4 linked regions of the Caenorhabditis elegans genome follow. The protein of the gene in region 3 binds, or shares a complex with, the protein of the main gene of each other region. Each region holds a gene or a part of one and is shown on either strand. Other genes may lie near its edges. The genes, in order: rtfo-1, leo-1, cdc-73 and pafo-1.

Region 1 (4,677 bases), on a different chromosome or scaffold from region 3:
GAAAAGCAAAATGGATTGTGTTCGAGAAAATATGAACATTTGGAAAGTTTTGAGTTCTGAAGCTTTAAAAGAATAATAAGATAAAATACGTTCACAAAGTCTTTTGAAATTTTATACGGGCAACTCGGACTGAAAAAGTTAGACAATCAATGTGAAATCGGGTTTTTTACAGAAAGTCTCTATATTTAGCGTTAAATTAAAATTGAATGTTACTAATGTGAACATTTGTTGAATTGGACATCAAGATTTTGTTTCGCAATTATTTACCGTAATCTTGAAGGCGCATATACAAATATATAGAGGGCCGTAAATTGATACGAGCTACAGTAACTCGTTGTCCGAGTGGCGAGACCCCTGCGAGTAAAGTATAACCAACATTAAAATATCTAAACGTCTGCGTTATACGGAATTTTTTATGTATTAAACACAAATGAGTCTCTCTTAAAAACTCGTAGAAAGAAAACATGCAGTATTTCAATAATCAGATAACTTACCAAAATTAAACTCTGCCTCAGCTGCTCCTCCATTGTGTCGATGGGATTCGAACCGCAAATTCTTCATTTTCTTCGAAAACTTCGCTTACTACTTCTACTAATTGTCGAATGGCAACAGGAAACACGAAAAGAAAGATTATCCTTTATTTCTGATTCTCTGTATCTCCAGGTCTACCTAAACACTTTAATAGAACAACTGTTCACTAAAGAGCATTTGATCTTTCTTTTTTCGTTTTTTCTTCTCTTACATCGTTTAACCTGGAAAAGGGGTTGTATTTCCGTAAGCCATCTACCCTTGTCTCTTCTTATGTTTTTTTCTTGATTAATGGTTTTTGAGAATACTGTGAGAGCATAAGAGATTTGAAAAACCTATAAGAACACTTCGGATTCCCACAGGATGGGCACTAAAGAATTAGTTTTTCTAAACTTCAGAAAATGGGAGTGTCTCTCAATTTCCTTATCGATTATAAAAGTGTTTGGTATTTATATATAAATCCATTAAATATACATAGCTTGCACCATGACCTACAGCAACAGAAGCCAATATCCCAATTGTGTGCGACAACCTTGCAAAATAGCGTGCGCGGCTTGCAAAGTGGGCGGGACTAAATGTATTGACACTGTGCAGTTTGAATGTAAAAATTTATTCTTAATTTTCGGTATTTTCTTTGGTTTTTCGTTATTATAATTGATTTTTAATGATTCTTTATTATTATCTTAATTCAAAGAGTAGAAAAACTTTATTGCACCCGTCCTTTTTGTTTCTCGAATCCAATATTGACACATTTTTTGAGAAACTTAAGTTTTTTCTTAATTTTTCGAATATTTTCGACAAAAACGCGCATATATCATTAAAAATATGACACTTTTCCTTGTTTCTTTTATTTGTTTAAATATTTGTATGAAACCTATTGTTCGTAGCCATCTTGCAACTGTGTGTCGATATCGATTTTCCCAGAACAAATGTCAGACGCTCTACATCACTTTTATACAACCGTTTCTTCTCACCGTTCTCTAATAATTTATTCAATTCATAATTATGTTCTCAGGGTCAGTTTAATCAACAATGTCTTCCTCTGAGAGTGCTTCATCAGACGAAGAGACAAAACGCCGTGCTCCAGCCACTTCAGATTCCGATTCTGACTCAGACGCAGGTCCAAAACCTGGAAAACCTCTCAGTACCGACTCCTCGGCATCCGATTCAGATGCCGAAAAACCACAGTGAGTTTTACTGTTTTCTATCCAAAAAAAAGTTATACGAGTTTCCATTTTCAGGGCAAAGCCTGCAAAAAAGAAGACTTTAACAAAGCGAAAGCGGCGAGCTACTGGAAGTAGTGACGATGACCAAGTAGATGATGATTTATTTGCTGACAAAGAAGACAAAGCAAGATGGAAGAAATTGACAGAATTGGAAAAGGAGCAAGAAATTTTTGAAAGGATGGAGGCTCGTGAAAACGCGATTGCTCGAGAAGAAATTGCTCAACAACTTGCTAAAAAAGCAAAGAAAAGTTCTGAAAAGGGAGTCAAAACCGAAAAACGAAGGAAAATGAACAGTGGTGGAAGTGATGCAGGTTCCCCGAAACGCAAAGCTTCATCGGATTCCGATTCTGAGATGGATGCTGCTTTCCACCGACCCAGTGATGTAAGTTTATTTTTTTATTTTTCAAATAAAAATTTTTATTCCAGATTAACCGCAAACATAAAGAGAAGAATGCTATGGATGCTCTGAAGAACAAACGTAAAGAGATCGAAAAGAAAAATGCAAAAAACGAAGCACTCTCTATCGATGCTGTTTTTGGAGCTAATTCGGGATCTTCAAGTTCGTCTAGTTCAAGCGAAAGCTCTCGTTCATCATCTTCTTCCCGCGAATCATCACCAGAACGTGTATCCGAAAAAGATAAGATAGTAAAGAAAGATGTTGATGGACTTTCGGAACTTCGAAGAGCTCGATTGTCCCGTCATAAACTTTCATTGATGATTCATGCCCCATTCTTTGATTCTACTGTCGTAGGATGCTATGTTCGACTTGGACAAGGGCAAATGAGTGGCTCAGGAAGCAAATATCGGATATGGAAGATTGTCGGTGTGGAGGAATCCAACAAAGTCTACGAATTGGAAGGAAAAAAGACAAATAAAATCATAAAATGTCAGAATGGTGAGTTGTTTATTTACTTGTGAAAATTTGAAATCTGTTACAACCTTAACTGCAGGTGGATCAGAACGACCATTCCGTATGCAATTCGTTTCAAATGCTGATTTCGAACAAATTGAGTTTGATGAATGGCTTCTGGCATGTAAGAGACACGGAAATCTTCCAACCGTCGATATTATGGATAAGAAAAAACAAGATATCGAAAAAGCAATCAACCACAAGTATTCGGACAAAGAAGTCGATCTGATGATCAAGGAAAAGAGCAAATATCAAACAGTTCCACGAAATTTCGCTATGACAAAAGCTAATTGGTCCAAGCAAAAAGAGCTGGCTCAACAACGAGGTGACATTCGAGAAGCCGAACAAATTCAAACTAAAATCGATGAGATTGAACGACAAGCTGATGAATTGGAGAAAGAGCGAAGCAAGTCAATTAGTGCGATTGCGTTCATTAACCATAGGAATCGATCAAAAATAAAGGACCAAGTCCTGAGTGGGCAATTGAAGATCGAAGAGAATTCACAGGATGATCCTTTTACACGTAAGAAGGGAGGTATGCGTGTTGTTTCTGGATCTAAATCAAGACTTGACGGAACTCTTTCCGCATCTTCATCAACCACAAATTGTAAGTTAATAGGAAATATCAATTTTTTGACATAACTTTATAATTTTCAGTATCTGACGGCGGAAAAGACAAAAGTTCATCATTGGCTAAACCGACGCAACCTCCTCCATCTACTCAAATAAAGAAAAAAACTGATATATCCAGTCTGCATGACTTTGATCTAGACATCGATTTGGGTAAATTGAAGGATTTTAGTACGCCGGAATCGTCAGGAAACAAACGTCCATCAATTAGTTCTTCCAAGTTAGCACATCTTATAGTGGACTATTTTAATTGCTATATTTTCAGAGGAGTGTCACTTAGTGATTATCGAATGCGTCGATCAGGAGGTGGTGACGCTGGATCCTCCACATCAGCTGCACCATCCTCAGCAGTTTGAACTGTCTTTTTCTACATCTCTTTGATTTTCTCAGCGTTACCCCCCTCATCCCTCATCGTTACGTTTTACTTATTTTCTTTCGTTTTATAAACTGATCAAAACTTGTTCAATTCCTTCATTATACTATTCCGTTCATTTTTTCCAATTTTTGAGAACACATTTTTTTAGCTTTTAATTTCGTCAGAATAAAATAAATCGTAATAAAGATAGCAATTGCAGAATGCAAGAAATGGAACATTTTATGAATCCTTCACCGTTTGTTTTAGATCTTTCCCACTCACTGATACTCCTCACCAATCCCAAACCTTTAATTTTAAATTTTCTATGTGATTCTATTGATTTTCACCCTCATTCATCTTTTCATGTTTTATTCCTTTTTTGATTCCTTGTGACTACTGTATTCCTAGGTTAACGGATGTAAACCAAAAATCTGTGTGAATTTTTTGAAACTTTTCTAATAATTTTTCGTGCAATTAATGAATAAACTCAAAGTTCTTTTCACGTTTTTATTCCATCTTTCAGGATTAGAAACCCGGTATACAGAAATGGTTTGGAATGTGAACGAAGAATTGTAATTTAACATCTTAAGCGCTACAGCTCTTTACTCGGCTTGGCTCGAAGAAATGAGCTTTTGCTCAGTGAGCATTGACAGGCAACAGGGAGCTGGAAAGGAAGGGATTAGATTATTTCGAGATTAATACAATAAGAGAAATAAGACAAACCTGGATTTGTTCAACAATCCAATCCTCACAATTATCATCCCCTGTGTTTCGTAGAACTTTGAATGAGAGGGTCTGAATGCCACATTGACCATGAGCTGGAAATATATTTCAATCACAAATTACATGTAATCAACGGACCCCTCAGTTGAAAAACGTAGAACGCTCTCATTACGTAAACGTCCAAATTGATCATTTTCGCCATACAATACGTACATGGGTCTCGCCACGCAGACATTGACATACAGTAGCTCGTGTCGATTTACGGGGCCTACATTGTCTCATGTTTTAAATATTAGACGAACAAT
Region 2 (3,801 bases), 7.3 Mb from region 3:
AGAGAACGTCGGGAGGTGAACCAATTGTAAAAAAAGTGAAAGGAGACGACGGAGGTAAATAATTTTTAAAAGTAAAGAAGTTAATTTGAATTAAATTTTAGGATTCAAAGCTCCACTTCCACCATCCAATGCGAAAAGTTCATCAGCTGTATCCTCTTCAAATGCTTCGTCGACACCAGCTCCAGGTTCCTTTGCAGTTCAGAAAGCAGCTCCAGGAACGGAAGATGCTCGCACAATTTTTGTTTCTAATCTCGATTTCACTACGACGGAAGACGAAATTCGACAAGCCATTGAAGGTGTTGCTTCAATTCGATTCGCAAGAAAAGCGAATTCGGATCTTGTGCACAGAGGGTTCGCCTATGTTGTAATGGAGAATGATCAGAAGGCACAGCAAGCTCTCTTGAAAGATCGAGTTCCTGTGAAGGGAAGGCCAATGTTTGTAAGTTTTAATTTTACTTTATAAATATTTGTGAAATTTTAATTTCTGAAAATTCAGATCTCCGCCAACGATCCAGAAAAACGGGTTGGATTCAAATTCTCAACCACTCTTGAAAAATCGAAAGTCTTCGTTCGCAATGTCCACTTCCAGGCAACCGACGATGAGTTAAAGGTAATATATACTTATCTATCATTTTATATTCTAAATCGATACATTTCAGGCATTATTCTCGAAATTCGGTACAGTAACCAGTGTTCGACGCGTGACTCATAAAGATGGAAAACCAAAAGGAATCGCATTCGTAGATTTTGACACAGAAGCAAGTGCTCAAAAATGTGTTGCTTCTGGTGATAAATTGATGCTTCGAGAAAGAGAACTAGAGGTAGCGTTATCCAATCCACCAGTAAAAAAGGATAAATCGCATGGAAAACCAGCAGCAATTGGAGCAAGTTTGGAAGAAGATGGACCTAGAAAAGGACATGCTGCAAAACTGCAATTGGTTCCCAGAGCTATTAGTAAGTATATCATCTTTAGTTCCCAGCTTAGCATAAAAAAATCCATTTTCAGCAAACAAAACTCCTCAAATCACTGCTCGGCTGGACGCAATGGATGTTTCCGAAGGCACTTCAACGTCTCAGCCACTTTCAAATGATCAATTCCGTAAAATGTTTATGAAAAATTAGGGCCGTTTTTCACCAGAAACTTTCATTGTTCATATCAAGATTCATTTAGTTATTTAATTTCTATTACGTTCCCCAGTGTCTCCTTTCCAATTAAAATTCCGGTAGATGCTATTTTTGATGTTCTCGCTATAATTATATTTGTTCTTCACTACGAATTGCAAGATTTAGTTTCATAACTGTTCATAATCCTTGTTTTCTTTTTGTTTGCTAATAATTTGTAATAGAGATCCCCCAATATTCATTTTCAACTTATTGCCTATGGATAAGAAAATCTGAATTTTCAACAACTACTTTTATTATTCAATTTTTATCGGTATATTCGACCCCAAATTATTACTTTGTTTTGCTACTTTCGCTATTCAAAGAACTTAGGTATGCAATATTTTCAATTCAGATGTCATCTTCTGAGGGTAATTCTGACGCTTCTGCACCAGGAACACCAGTTAAATCGTAAGTAAATGGTAATTGTGTTTCTAAAATAATATAATTCAATTCAGATCAACTCCATCTTCTCGTGGATCGTCGCCAGATTCACCAAAAAAACAAGAACCGTCTAAGAAAAGAGCGATATTAAATGAGTCCGACGATGATGATGATTCTCGTCCTGCTCCTCGACAATTGTCCGATTCTTCTGACGATAACATTCATCCGAGAGGAGGAGGTGAAAAGAGTTCCCCCGGTGCTGGTGGTGGTTTGTTCGGTGATCTCTCTGGCTCTTCCGACGATGATTCCGACAGAGAAGGAAAGCCGAAAGAATCAAATACAAGAGCACGATTGTCAGATTCCGATGCGGAGAGTCGTGGAAGTTTGAATGATTTGCAAGGAATTGTGATGGCTAATCCAGATGAAATAGATGAAGATGAAAAAGCAAAGGAGCATGTTCATGATACTGAAGTAAACATTTTCAATGAAATAATGTGATTAAAACATTGATTTTCCAGATGGTAACAGGTCGTGTTACTTTGGAGTACGCTGCAGATCCACCACATTTTGTCAGAATGCCAAACTTTCTATCAGTCGCCACTCATCCATTTGATCCACAACATTACGAGGAAGACGAAGATGATGAGCAGGCGAAATTGGATGATGAAGGACGAACACGTCTCAAATTGAGAGTATGTCTGTGTTATAAATACATCTCATCAAATATACAATTTTTAAGGTGGAAAATACACTTCGCTGGCGAGTTCGCAAAGATGAAAATGGAAAAGAAATTCGAGAGAGTAATGCAAAAATTGTAAAATGGGACGATGGAACGTTAGTTTTCAATTGATGCAAAATTTCCATATCGTGACTTAATTTCAGAATGTCTCTATACCTCGGAAACGAAATTTTCGAAGTCTCATTGGTGCCGCTGAATTCCAATAATCTTCCCCATCTTTACGTTAAGCAGCCAACATTAATGGTATTTTGATTGTTAATGTTTTTATTTTAATCAAAATTTATGTCATTTTTAGTCGGCTCAAGCTGTTCTTACACATCGTATGACCTTCCGTCCTCACTCGACTGATTCCCAAACTCACAGAAAAGTCACACTCAATATGGCAGATCGAAGCAGGAAGAATGCTCAAGTTAAAGTCATGGACGATGTTGGTCAGAATCCGGAAATTACACGGCGTGAGAATGCCCGGAAGGAGGAAGAATCACTTCGTGCACACATCCGACGTACTCAGATGGTTCGGAATAACTTTAAAGTTCGTGGTCCGAGATATGCAGGACAATATTCTGATGATGAAGATATGCCAACGTCATCCAGAAAAGGAAAGAAGAAGGAAGCACCAATTATTGGTAAGTTCAATTTAATTTTGATTAGGACTTTACCAGAATAAAGAAACTGTACTACAATAATATATTTCAGGTGCCAGCTCAGAAAGTGAGGACGATCATGCGGATACCACAAAGAAAAGCGGATCGGATAGCGATTCTGATGAAGAGTACCGAAAGAGAAAACAACAACAAAAGAAACAGATTGTCACCAGTGACGAAGAATCTGACTAAATTTATTTCAATTTTGATCCTCACAATTTTATATTTCGCGAATTCAATATTTCTCCCTTTACAATATTTCGAAAATGTTTTCCTTTCCTTATTTATTTTAGTCTTCGATATTTCGAGATAATGAAACATCCACAATATTATGAAAAACCGAGCTTTTATTTCTTAATTTCAATCAGATTGTATGTAATATTTAAAATCATACATCCACTACGTCTTCCTCGCTTCTCAAAGAATTGGCATCAAGTGTCGTATCATAAATTCTGAAACTTGAAATAATCTACGATTTCAGAATTCTCAAAATCAAACCTCCGTGTTTTATCGTTTTCCATTGCTCTTGGGGAAATCGATACATTTAATATCAACTGAGCTTCTTCTTGATTTCCAGAGCTTCTCGATCGCAGTAAAAACATCAATATAATGATTTGAAAGAAGATTCCATAAATTAAAATTCGAAAAACTATAGGTTTTGACTTTTGATTCCAGAGTATTTTAAACATCTTTGTGGAAAATGTAGGAAATGATTTTTCACGTTTGATAAAGAAACTGACTAATAAATTTTTACATCTAACAACAAATCTTTGAATCAATCATATTATAATATACACGGAACCACTATGTCCGAAAGATTTAAAATTTAAAAAAATTGAAATTGAAAAAAGTATTCATTGAATATTAAAATGG
Region 3 (7,520 bases):
ACGAGGATGAGACCAGCGTACACATGTACAGCATGGAAACTGTCGATTATGAGTGAGTGCGGCGGCGGGAATTCAAATTTTTGATTCGAAAAAAACCCAAGCCGCGACGCGACCGCAACGCTCCTTAAAATTGATAATTATTTTAGGTATTCGGTGGAAGAGGATCACGAGGACGATGAGTACAAGTCGACGAAAAATGAAACGATCAAAAAGTTCTTGATCGATCGGAAGCAGTTGGAGAAGGCGTTGCGGTGAGATCCATGATCAAGTTTTAAGCGAAATTATCGATTTTTTCCAGATTAGCCGCTGAAAACGAGAAAAAGCTGAAATCGATGCTCGACGAGTCGGGAAAATGGTTCGATCGTTACGAGAAAATGATCGATGATCTTGATGAGCAACTGACCACGTATAATACCAATCGCAAAATCGTTCTGGATAATATTATCAACGGTGTAAGTTATTGGGGTGGCGGTGCGGTCGTGCCGCGGTTTTGGTCTGAAAATCGATATTTGATCCGTTGCGGTCGCGCCACTGCTTCAGTTCAAAAAATCTATGCTTAACGCGTTGCGGTTGCTGGGCGGTTTTCGCTAGAAATATCGATTTTCCATGCGCCGCGGTCGCGTTGCGGTACACGTTCAAAAATCAATAATTGATGCGCTGCGGTCGCGTCGCGGTTTCGGCCCCGCCGCCGTCCCCTCTGAAAAGATCAATAATTCCAGATACAACCGATGTATGAACGCTGGCAAGCGGCTCGAAAAGAGATGGCCGCCGTGAAATTCACGACGCATCGTGTAATTCCATCGCCGACCATTTTCGGCAATCTGGCTCACTACGGAATATCGATTTTACGCCAAATACTGTTCTATATGGCATATTGTCGGGATTTGGTGTCGGCCGGCGATCAGCAGAGAAGTGGCTCACCGAAATCGGATTCGACACGTACTTTGAACTCGTTGAACCTCTCGGCCGAAAATAAATGATTGATTTATTGATTTTTTTTATTTTCTGGGAAACTTGCATGAAAATCAAGAATTTTCACATAAAACGCTGAAAAACGCTGCCATCGGGTACGGTATCTCCATTTCTGTGCAAACACCGACTACAGTAACCCAAGGCGTAGAATTTGACGACAAGTTGCAGAAAAACCTCGAAAATAAGGGCAAACGTGGAATTTTCAAAGATAAGCATATAATTTGTGCTGAAATTTTTGAAATATTGTTCATTTTCACGATTTTTGTGCAATTTATGGTCGATTCTAGTGTATTGGGCTAGAGACCCGAAGAACTCGGTGGATGTCCAATTGGGGGGATTACCAACTCGACAGAACCGTGGCTTGCAATACGCCCATTTCTGCAACTGCCGCACGGTTTTAAAACTGTATTTTTCTCAATAGAGCGAGAATTAACAAGAAAAAATAATTTTAAAACCGTGCGGCAGTTGCAGAAATGGGCGTATTGCAAGCCACGGTTCTGTGGGCGGGGCCAATCCCCCGAGTTGGTAATCCCCCCAGTTGGACATCCCCCGAGTTCTTCGGGTCTTGGGCTACTGTGATCGGTGTTTGCACAGAATTCGAGCTACAGTACCACAGAAATAGCAAGATTCAAATTTTCCGTAATTGTTTATCGAACATTTTGCTGCTAATCACAACTTTAATCAAGAAATAAAGTGACAAACACGACTAAATTTTCATTTTCCTCACCTTTTTGTGCATTTCCCAACATTTTCGTAACTTTTTTACACTTTCATGGTTAATACATATTGCTTCAATAAGTTTCTTTCTTCAATTTGACTAGTTGAAAAAATCTCCACGAAATTTGCTACTTTTAAGCCTAAAAATAGGCAGATATCTCAAAATTGTAGATATTCAATTTCAAACTCGCGCTCTTTTCTCGTGGCCGCGGCCTAGAAATCCCGCTCTCTCACTGTTCTCTTCCAGATTTTTTAATTTGAAAAATAATTTATTTCGCCGCGTTTTCCTTCATTTTTCATCGATTTTCCGTCTAATTTTCTGCATTTTTTCAGCAGAATGGACCCATTGGAAGCTCTCCAAAAGCATGTGCAGAGGCCAGAAGAGTTTCCGCTGCGAGAAGTCACCGTGGTAAGTGTTTTAACGATTTTTGTCGATTTTCCAATCATTTTTCTCATTTTCAGAGCGGAATCTCGTATGTGGCGTTCGGCGACTACGCTTATAAGAAAGACACGGAGACTAGCCTCCAAATCTACGGAAAAAGCGATGAATTCTACTCTTTGGAGTCACTGGTCGTATTTCTCAAGTACTCACACGAAAATCACGGAGTTTATGTGAAAGAAGCGGCCGCCGCCGGTGTTCGAGCCGTTACACGTATTGATAGGTAGAAAATATCGATTTTTAGCCGAAAACACGTGTAATTTTTCAGAAAAAATGTGACAGAGTACCTCCAGGGTGACCGCACAGACTTTCCGGCGCTGATGAACCAAGTAAATCCGCTTTCGCTTCGCCAATTGCTCCATTCCTCGGAGCCAGAAGCAAAAAAGCCACGTTTAGACGGTGAAGCCGCCGGCGAGCCAATGGACACGAGCACTTCGGGTTATTTTAAACAAAAATCTGAAAAAAAAACTAATTTCGAGCTAAAAACCTTAAAAATTATCGTTTTTAAGCTAAAAATAAGGATTTTTAGACAAGATATGACTTGAAAATCGATTTTTAAAAGGTTTTAGCTGAAAATAACGATTTTTAAAGCTAAAAACCGACGAATTCTACGCTAAAATCCAAATTTTAGGCTAAATGCTTAATAAAAACCTACTTTCACGCTAAAAGCCCCATTTAAACCCCCAAAAATCCAATTGTGGACTAAAAAACTACAAAATAGTTAATTTAAGCCAAAAAACTGGAAAAAACGTAGTTTAAGCTGAAAATCTGAAGAAAACACCAATTTTGAGCTAAAAACCGAAAGAAAAAACTGTTTTTAAGTTAAAAATTATTGTTTTTAGCTCAAAAACAATTTTAGGTGAACATTTGAATAAAAATCCGATTTTAAGCTTAAAAAAGTATAAAATAGCTCATTTTAAGCCAAAAAGCCTGTAACTACCTTAAAAATAACCGTTTCTAAGCTAAAAATCATGATTTTTAGCAGAAATTTGCTCAAAAATCCCGATTTTTCTCAAAATTAACTCCATTTTTTTCCCAGATGAGCCCCAGGAATCCGCGGTATCCGCTGCAAAGAAAGAAGTCGAAATTCGTGCACTAAATGACAATCTGACAAAGGATAGAATTGCTGAAATGAGAAGAAAACGACAAAGTCATCGAGAAAAAGGAATAGTCACCATTGAGTACGGCAAAAAATTAGGAAAATGGGCTAAAAAGGCCAAATTTATGCTGAAAAATGATGCAAAAATGCAGATTTTAGCCTGAAAACCCGAAAATTTCACGAAATTGCGAATTTCTCAGTTTTCGGTTGAAAAATTGGGAAAATTACGTTGAAAACGTAGTTTTTACCCGAGAAAACCGAAAAACAACAGTAAAAAGCCAATTTTCGATTTAAAACAATTTTAACTGGGAAAAAATATGAAATTCAATTTTTTTTTTTCAAAATTCCCTACTAAAATTCGGATTTTCATATAAAAAACTACGCAAATCACCTAAAAAAACCGAAATTCTACCAGAAAAAAGTGATTTTCAACTCAAAAAATCTTAAATTTATCCCATTTTCATAGAACAGAGCCAATTTTCTCCAAAAACCCGATTTTTGTGCAATTTGTCGTGAATTCCGGTGTTTTGGGTTACTGTAGTCGGTGTTTGCACAGAAATGGGGCTACAGTACTCAAAATAGACATTTTTCTGGGTATTTTCGTTAAAATTTCTGAAAAAATTGTGAAAATTCATTGCAAAAAACGGAAAATCTCGATTTTCTAGGTCAAAATTTTCTTAAAAACTTGTTTAACTCGAAAATTCTTAGAAAACTCCGAATTTCTCATTTTTTGGTTCAAAAAACTACGAAAAGTCGATTTTTAGTTTGAAAATCTCGTAATTTTCTAAATTTTCACCGAAAAGTTTCCAAAAATCGGCCAATTTTTCTTTTAAAAAAAGCCTGAAAAATATAGAATTTTTATGCAAAAAAAATCCGAAAACCCCGATTTTCTAGGACAACATTTCCTCAAAAACCTGATTTTCTGATCAAGAAATTTCAATTTTTCAGTGAATCCCTATCCACACTGACGTCAGCCTCACTTCCGAAGACTCGAATCCACAAAACCCGTGAAAATGTCATGTTGGGAGCTCGAGATTTGTCAAATGTGCTCGATATTATCACTTCAGCCCAACGGCAATGGGATTTAAACGAGAAAAAGGAAAAAGTGGCGGCTGTTCATGCTACGAATCTCTCGAAAGATCAGTCTGGAGCCGCTGGTGGACAACAGCAACGTTCCGGTTATTCTAGATATGCTCAGGAAGCTTTTGCTCATGTAAGGGAGCCCCCTCCCCAAACTATGTGAAAATTTGAGAAAAATTGGTGAAAAATCGATCTTTCTGCTATTTTTCACGCAAAAATTCGGAAAATTTGATCCAAAAATTATGAAATTCGTGAAAACCGGCAATTTTTTCCTAAAAATTCAACATTTTCACCAAAAACCCGCTAAAAATGACGAATTCGGATACTGTAGCCCCGTTTCTGTGCAAACAACAACTACAGTAACCCAAAACACTGGAATTCACGACAAATTGCACAAAACTCAAAAACTGACGTAAAAATGCGATTTTTCACGCAAAAATTCGAAAATTTTGATCCAAATAAATGAAAAATTGAGAAAAGATTCGAATTTCAGTGAAATTATGTCCAAAAATCTACTAAAATTCAATTTTTTCAGGAAAAAACCAAGGAAATTCAAACGGAAGGCTCTTTTATTGGAAGTAATTTCAGCAGTATCAAGCAGGGACATCATGCGGTACAAAGTTCGTAAAATCCGAGAAATTGCAATTTTAAATTCAAAAAAATCAGAAATTTTATAAAATTTGACCCTAAATTCGAAAAACACCGAAAAATTCCCACATTTCGAAACAAAATTGGAAAACTTCATAAATTGACTTAAAATCCGGGTTTTTGTAATATTCTCACCAATTTTGACTGAAAAAACTCGTAAAAAATGCTTTTTTTTTTCATTAAAGTTGATCTGGAAAGCTGAAAATTCGGAAAATTTATGAAATTTTCACTAAAAACCTGTGAAAAACCAATTTGTGCCGGAAAATGTGATTTTTAACACAAAAATTCAGAAATTTTGCTTCAAAATGGAGAATTTCATGAAAAATGACGATTTTGGGTACTGTAGCTCTATCTCTGTGCAAACACCGACTACAGTAACCCAAAACGTCGGATTTGACGACAAATTGCACAGAATTCATAAAATTTGACCTAAAATCTGGGTTTTTTTTCTGAAATTTCTACTAAAAAATGTAAAAAACGCCAATTTTTCACAAAATTTTCAATTTTCCAGAAGCACCCGACGCTCCCCCAGGCCGTCCTCCACTCGCCAAGCCCATCCAGCTTCTGACGTCATCAACTGCCACGTCATCAGGCTCATCAGCAGCTCAAAATGGCTCAAAACGGACGTCTCGCTCCCCGATCATCATCGTTCCGTCGGCAATGAATACGATGATAAATTTGTACAATGTTCGAGATATTCTGCAGAATTTCAGCTATGTTCCTGTTGATCAGCGACGAAAAGAGACGAATAAGAAGCCTGTCGATTTGGCTATTCAACGGCAGAAAAATGGTGTTACTTGTGCGTTTTTTTGGCTGGAAATGCGATTTTTCACGCGAAAATTTGGAAATTTTGACCCAAAAAATGAGAAAAACTAAGATTTGTGCTTGAAAATCTGAATTTATTGGAAAAATTTGAAATTCTTGAGCCAAAAATGCTGAAAATTAAACATTTCGACGAAAAAAACCCCGAAAAATGACGGTTTTGAGTACTGTAGCCCCATTTCTGTGCAATCACCGACTACAGTAACCCAACACATCTGAATTTACGACAAAATTCTGAAAATGGTCAAATCCTTCTCGAAAACTTGCGTTTTGCCTGAAATTTACGATTGTTTACGCGAAAATTCGAATATTTTAACCCAAAAATAATGAAAATCGTAAAATCCACCGGTTTTTGCGCAAAAATGGAAAATGTTGACTTAAAAACTTGAAAAATGAGACGATTTTGGGTACTGTAGCCCCATATCTGTGCGACCACAGACTACAGTAACCCAAAACACCGAAATTTACGACAAATTACACAAAACTTGAAAATAGACTTGAAAATTCGATTTTTCTCGAAAAAGTCCTTTTTAAAGTGATTTAAAATAATTTTAAGCTAAAAAATTGGAAAAATACGCAATTTTTCAAAATTTGTTTGGAAATTTGAGCAAAAAGCGTAAAACCCTGAAATTTCGAGAAAAAAACTGAAATCTTCACCTAACCTTTCGAAAATACTCAATTTTAACCAAACATTTCGAAAAAACTAGACGTTTCAGGCAATATTCGCTGCAAAAATGGTATTTTTTGGGATTTTTAACCGATTTTAAGCTAAAAATTCGAAAAAAAAACAAAAACTCCATTTTAACCTAAAATTTGAAATTGATTCAGACAATATCCGCGTAATCGACAATGCCGAGAAGCTTGCCAATGATGATTGGGATCGTGTGATCGCCGTCTTCGTAATGGGTGTCGCGTGGCAATTCAAAGGCTGGAAATGGAATGGAAATCCGACGGACATCTTCACCCACATTCCTGCATTCCATTTCCACGTCGACCAGGATAAGCCGGTGGCTCAAGTGATGCAGTGGAATGTACACAAGATTCCAGTCTCGGCGACGAAACGGCACATGGATAAGGCTCGATTCAGTCAAGTTTGGGAGACAATCGAGAATTTTGTACGCAAGAACAAGCCACATCTCACCGCCCGTCTTGGACTCTGAAAATTCTCGGAAATTTTCTTTTTTTCTTCATTTTTTGCAAATTTATTTATTCATCACTTTTGATTTTATTAAAAATGCCATTTTTCTTCAAACAATTTTTAATCGAAAATTCAAATTTTTAGCGAAAAAATCATTTTCCACGTGGCGAAATCGTCATTTTTGGAGTGGAGAAAATTCGATTTTCAAGCGGAAAATTGCCCAATTTTCGTCAGTTTTCGTCAGCCAGGCGGCGCGGTCGCGTCGCGGCAACAAATTTTTTAATTCGTGAATTTTCAAGGTAATATTTTGGAGAAAAATTCAAATTTTCCAGTTAAACATTGTTTCGTTTTTTGGCCAAAATTGCCTTCTAGGATTTTCGAAATATTGCTCCATTGGCCACGCGGAGCGGTCGCTTCGCGGCTTTTTTTTTTTTCATGATTACTGGCTCAAAACTAGACACTTTGAATTCCCAAGTTAAATTCATTTGTCAAAATTCTTCAAAAGAGTTCGGGGAGTAGTGCGATTCAGAAAGCAGAAAGTGAGAAAAAAATTAGAGGTATAGCACAAGTATTAGAAATATACCAAAAAATTAGGTGAAAATTAG
Region 4 (4,121 bases), on a different chromosome or scaffold from region 3:
CAGAACCACTGGTATTTTCAGAAATTGAACCAAGAAATTCGGATGCAATATTAATGATTGCACCACGAGAAACGGAAAGTGTATCGCCTTCCTGTCGTTTCGAAGCTTTGATTATGAGTGGTACAAGGCTTTGTGTAAGCATCATTGGACCAATTGTATTTGACTCAAACAAATCCAGAACAACTTTTCGATCAGGTTTTTGTTTTGTTACATATGGAAGCATCACAGCTGCATTATTTATAAGAAGAGTTAATCCAGATTCTCCAACAATTTCAGACACTTTTTCAGCAAAATTTGCAATTGATTCATCGGATCCGAGTGAGAGTTGAAGAATGTGAAGTCGTGGATCACAAATTCCCTTGAGAGCCTGAAAAATTGGAAATTAAGAATGCCGTAGTCCAATACATGTTGTTGGGAAATTTTTACCATATACAAATATTAGGAACACAAACCTAATACAAATAACTATAATCTCAGCAACGGATAAAGTATAAATAAACTCGAAAAAACTTACAGTTGCCTTATCAACATCTCTTGCAGTCGCAATGACATGCTGAACATTTGGATCTTTCAGAAATTGTTGAACTAATCCAAATCCCAATCCTCGATTGGATCCGGTTACCACAACTGATTTTGGAGACATTTTCACTAGAATTTAAGCATAGAATTGAATTAACAGAAATCGAAAATCAATGAATGATGATTATTATTTCTTATCAATAGTATTTCTCTTCTGTTCTGCAAAATAAACAGCGTGATGAACTGCCACAATAATTAGTTTGGTTTATTGCAGTTTTTAGTTTATTTCGGAATTTCTGAGAAGAGATCAAAGAATTAGACAATGAAGAAAACTATGATAATTTCGATTTTGGTTAATACAGTTTTGCTCTTCAATCAAGTGTTGGTTGCGAACGGGGAAAATGTGAATGTAGGTTTACACAGGAGATGTTATAAAGGACTTTCCTTGGTTCTATTCCTGAGCTTTTCCAGTTGTCCCTGGGAAATTTTCTTTCAAATATTTTTAATGAAAGAGAAACGATAGACAAAAAAAGATAGACAAAAAACTAGGCGCAATTTGTTTTGCTATTGTTATGTTTTTGTAGGTTATGAGCAATTTCAAAATAAGATCTTTCTAGAAAATTGTAAAAATATTATTTCATTCAAGGTATCCTGCCCAATTTTATCCCGAACTCGACACAAAGAACTTCGAACTTTCATGTACAAAAACTGCACTTCCGGTTTCAAGACATGCTTTCAACAAATTATGCTCACTGAAATCGTTCGAAATGAGCAACACGCATTTCTATTTGCCTCTGGTTGTGCTTCGAAGGAAATTCTCAAGCCATTCAATCTAACCGAGGAAACATTCATGAAGTTATGTGACAAGAAAAAAGTGGGACGATGTGTTCATACATACCAGCATCGAGTTTATTATGGTACACTCTGCTGTGAAAGGAATTCGGAAAAAATGTTCGGATCTTGGCTGTGGGATGTTTTCTTTGGAAGTAGTGAAGAGCTAAATGCTGAAATGGAGAATACTGTTAGCTTTGTTCAGCGTGAAAGTATCGGAATGCACGATGATCATGATAATGTAGGCTTTAAAAGTTCACAACCCCACATTTATATAATTTTCCAGAAAGGAGCATTGGCTCTCTACATTGCTGGACCATTCATTGTCACCTTTATATTTACATTATTGTCCCTTTTACAATATTATCATGTTAATGATGGCATTTTGTCATAAAATAAATATTATCGTGACGAGAACGCTGGAAATTCACAAAACAAAAAATACTTTTTGAACACCCGCGCAAAACTGGTTATGCGCCATTGTTCCCTGCTGACGCGCATTGAGCGCTTGCGCAAAACCCGTGTGTGAGAGTTTGAATTTAATTCCCTCGGTGACTAGTTTTTTCGATTTGCAGCCGTTTCTGCCGATTGGTATCTTAATATTATAACTAAATTACTATAAAAAATGCCCCAAGAATCCTCAGATGCCAAAAGGATTGAACCTCCGTAAGTATTATTGTTTTGAATCGCTAGAAAAGTTTTGAAAACATTTTGCAGACGAAAAGTGGATTTCATGCTGAAACCTCGATTTACCAATACTGTTCCTGATGTCCCATTTGATGCAAAGTTTATGACTTGTCCATTTGTTCCTCTGGGAAGGTACACCAATTTTGAAACGTTTGACATTGTTCAATATCTCTGAATTTAGATTTGTCGAATTCCAACCTGCTGCCATTTATCGAGATTACAAGCATGCAGTCATTTGTGACGACGACATGGGTTTGAATGTCGATTTGATTGATCTAAAAAAATACGACGAAGATCCAATCGAAACTGTAGGTTTTTTCCTGAAATATACAGTTTCAAAGATAGAAATGTTTCACTTTTAGGAAATTGATGAGAAAGACAATATTTTACTGGAAGATGATGGCGCCGCTAAATTGATTGCAAAACGATCTCAACAGCATTCTAAACTTGTTCCATGGATGAGAAAAACCGAGTACATTTCAACTGAATTCAATCGGTTCGGTGTGACAGCCGATAGACAGGAGACGAAGCTTGGTTATAACTTGAAGAAAAATCAACAAGTTGAAGATATGTATCGTGACAAGCAGAGTCAAATTGATGCCATTAACAAGACATTTGAAGATGTAAGTACCAGAATATATTTTTTTGATTTAAATCTACTTTTGCGTATTTTAGGTTCGTAAACCCGTCAAGGAGCATTACTCCAAGAAGGGTGTAAAAGCTGTTGAAGAAAGCTTTGTCTTCCCTGATTTCGATCACTGGAAACACCTCTTTGCTCATGTACAATTTGATGGAGACACTATAACAACAGAATTCGAAGAAGAAGATGAACGACAACAAGCACGGGAGAGCAGTGTTATTAAAGCCATGGAATTCGAAGATCAAAAATTTGCAGCAGTTTTTGTTCCAACGATTGGATGTCTTACGAGTTTTATGGATGATCTTGAGTTAGAACGACCATTTGATGAGGATATGAAGTACGAATTCTTGCTAAGCCGTGAATACACATTTAAAATGGAACACTTGCCACCAAGGGATCGTGACGTCTTCATTATGTATCATCGTAATAACGTTTTCCAGTACAACGAAGTTGACTGTAATGTCAAGATGACAAGAAAACCAAAAATGGCATTGAGCAGAAAATCCAAATTGACACTCACATACCGAAATCCTTCCGAACTGGAACAAAAAGACATGAATAAAAGAGAGGCTGAGTTATACGAACAGCCAAAGACCAGAAAACAAGAGATTCTGGAAAAGATTCAAGAGAAGAAAGAAGAAGGTGGTGAGTAAATTTAAGTTTTGAAGTGTTATTTTCCACGCGAACATGCAATTTTTCAGGAGACAGTTCAGATCAGAGCAGTGATTCTGATGACGACAAGCCGCAGAAATCACGATCTGATAGCTCTTCGGACGTTTCATCAGATGACGATTCACCACGGAAAAAGGAACCGACTGTTGACAGCGACAGTGATTGATCTCAAATTTTTAAAATTGTTTTTCTATTTATTTTACCTAATCAAATTGGTTTTTCTCAGTAAACTTGATAACGATTTCAACTATTTGTTCGATTGATCTTCATGAATCTTCGCTAAAAGTGCAAGTATGATTTGACTCACAATTGAAGAAAAAACCAACAGCGGAAACACCAACACCCGCAAAGTTCTGTTTGTGTAGGTGTCTGTTGCTTGCGCTTATGTGCTCCACGTTCTATTCTTTGATTTGTCATGCGGAAGCAACAGGATCAGAGGGCAAGACGTTTAGTTTTGGGGGAAATTCGAACTACCGTTCTGATTGGAATGCGTATTGCGAAACATTGAATATATCCCGTAGCGAAAACTACAGTAATTCTTTAAATGACTACTGTAGCAATAGATTTTCGAAACTACAGTGCATTTTTTTTCCACTTCTACGACTTTAAAGGCGCGCGTATTTATACAAAATGGTCCCGTCATTGGTCTCGCCACGCGCTCAACAAATCAAAGGGATGCGCGTGGCGAGACCATTGCGCGAAAATGCGCGCGCCTTTAAAGTCGTAGAAGTTGTAAAAAAAGCACTGTATTCCAAAAGAAATTCATTTCAAA

What was found.
Region 1: cdc-73 (region 3) and rtfo-1 share a complex: the UniProt entries of both Caenorhabditis elegans proteins name them as parts of the PAF1 complex.
Region 2: cdc-73 (region 3) and leo-1 share a complex: the UniProt entries of both Caenorhabditis elegans proteins name them as parts of the PAF1 complex.
Region 4: cdc-73 (region 3) and pafo-1 share a complex: the UniProt entries of both Caenorhabditis elegans proteins name them as parts of the PAF1 complex.

The regions. Positions count from the first base shown.
Region 1 is NC_003283.11:9,579,511-9,584,187, reverse strand, and holds rtfo-1 (RNA polymerase-associated protein RTF1 homolog), read left to right. Parts: upstream 1-1,543; 5' UTR 1,544-1,560; coding exon 1,561-1,715; intron 1,716-1,769; coding exon 1,770-2,136; intron 2,137-2,180; coding exon 2,181-2,649; intron 2,650-2,704; coding exon 2,705-3,271; intron 3,272-3,321; coding exon 3,322-3,514; intron 3,515-3,559; coding exon 3,560-3,650; 3' UTR 3,651-4,147; downstream 4,148-4,677. Other genes in the region: F25B3.2 (CTCK domain-containing protein), read right to left, coding at 4,242-4,313, 4,373-4,467. UniProt on the Caenorhabditis elegans protein: Component of the PAF1 complex which is a multifunctional complex involved in transcription initiation via genetic interactions with TATA-binding proteins, elongation and transcription-coupled histone modification.
Region 2 is NC_003282.8:11,327,085-11,330,885, reverse strand, and holds leo-1 (RNA polymerase-associated protein LEO1), read left to right. Parts: upstream 1-1,516; coding exon 1,517-1,572; intron 1,573-1,619; coding exon 1,620-2,016; intron 2,017-2,063; coding exon 2,064-2,237; intron 2,238-2,284; coding exon 2,285-2,379; intron 2,380-2,427; coding exon 2,428-2,527; intron 2,528-2,579; coding exon 2,580-2,910; intron 2,911-2,980; coding exon 2,981-3,120; 3' UTR 3,121-3,265; downstream 3,266-3,801. Other genes in the region: sart-3 (Spliceosome associated factor 3, U4/U6 recycling protein), read left to right, coding at 1-54, 102-439, 497-610, 660-954, 1,007-1,122; B0035.21 (Kinesin motor domain-containing protein), read right to left, coding at 3,317-3,380, 3,427-3,530. UniProt on the Caenorhabditis elegans protein: Component of the PAF1 complex which is a multifunctional complex involved in transcription initiation via genetic interactions with TATA-binding proteins, elongation and transcription-coupled histone modification.
Region 3 is NC_003282.8:4,040,553-4,048,072, forward strand, and holds cdc-73 (Cell division cycle protein 73), read left to right. Parts: upstream 1-2,022; 5' UTR 2,023-2,026; coding exon 2,027-2,098; intron 2,099-2,151; coding exon 2,152-2,351; intron 2,352-2,396; coding exon 2,397-2,566; intron 2,567-3,167; coding exon 3,168-3,309; intron 3,310-4,175; coding exon 4,176-4,440; intron 4,441-4,842; coding exon 4,843-4,927; intron 4,928-5,466; coding exon 5,467-5,754; intron 5,755-6,605; coding exon 6,606-6,937; 3' UTR 6,938-7,020; downstream 7,021-7,520. Other genes in the region: F35F11.2 (DUF4200 domain-containing protein), read left to right, coding at 1-52, 147-251, 299-452, 720-980. UniProt on the Caenorhabditis elegans protein: Component of the PAF1 complex which is a multifunctional complex involved in transcription initiation via genetic interactions with TATA-binding proteins, elongation and transcription-coupled histone modification.
Region 4 is NC_003283.11:11,519,791-11,523,911, forward strand, and holds pafo-1 (RNA polymerase II-associated factor 1 homolog), read left to right. Parts: upstream 1-1,912; 5' UTR 1,913-1,975; coding exon 1,976-2,016; intron 2,017-2,067; coding exon 2,068-2,169; intron 2,170-2,218; coding exon 2,219-2,345; intron 2,346-2,399; coding exon 2,400-2,660; intron 2,661-2,712; coding exon 2,713-3,322; intron 3,323-3,378; coding exon 3,379-3,515; 3' UTR 3,516-3,594; downstream 3,595-4,121. Other genes in the region: C55A6.7 (DeHydrogenases, Short chain), read right to left, coding at 1-367, 515-643; C55A6.11 (uncharacterized protein), read left to right, coding at 842-928, 1,166-1,591, 1,637-1,744. UniProt on the Caenorhabditis elegans protein: Component of the PAF1 complex which is a multifunctional complex involved in transcription initiation via genetic interactions with TATA-binding proteins, elongation and transcription-coupled histone modification.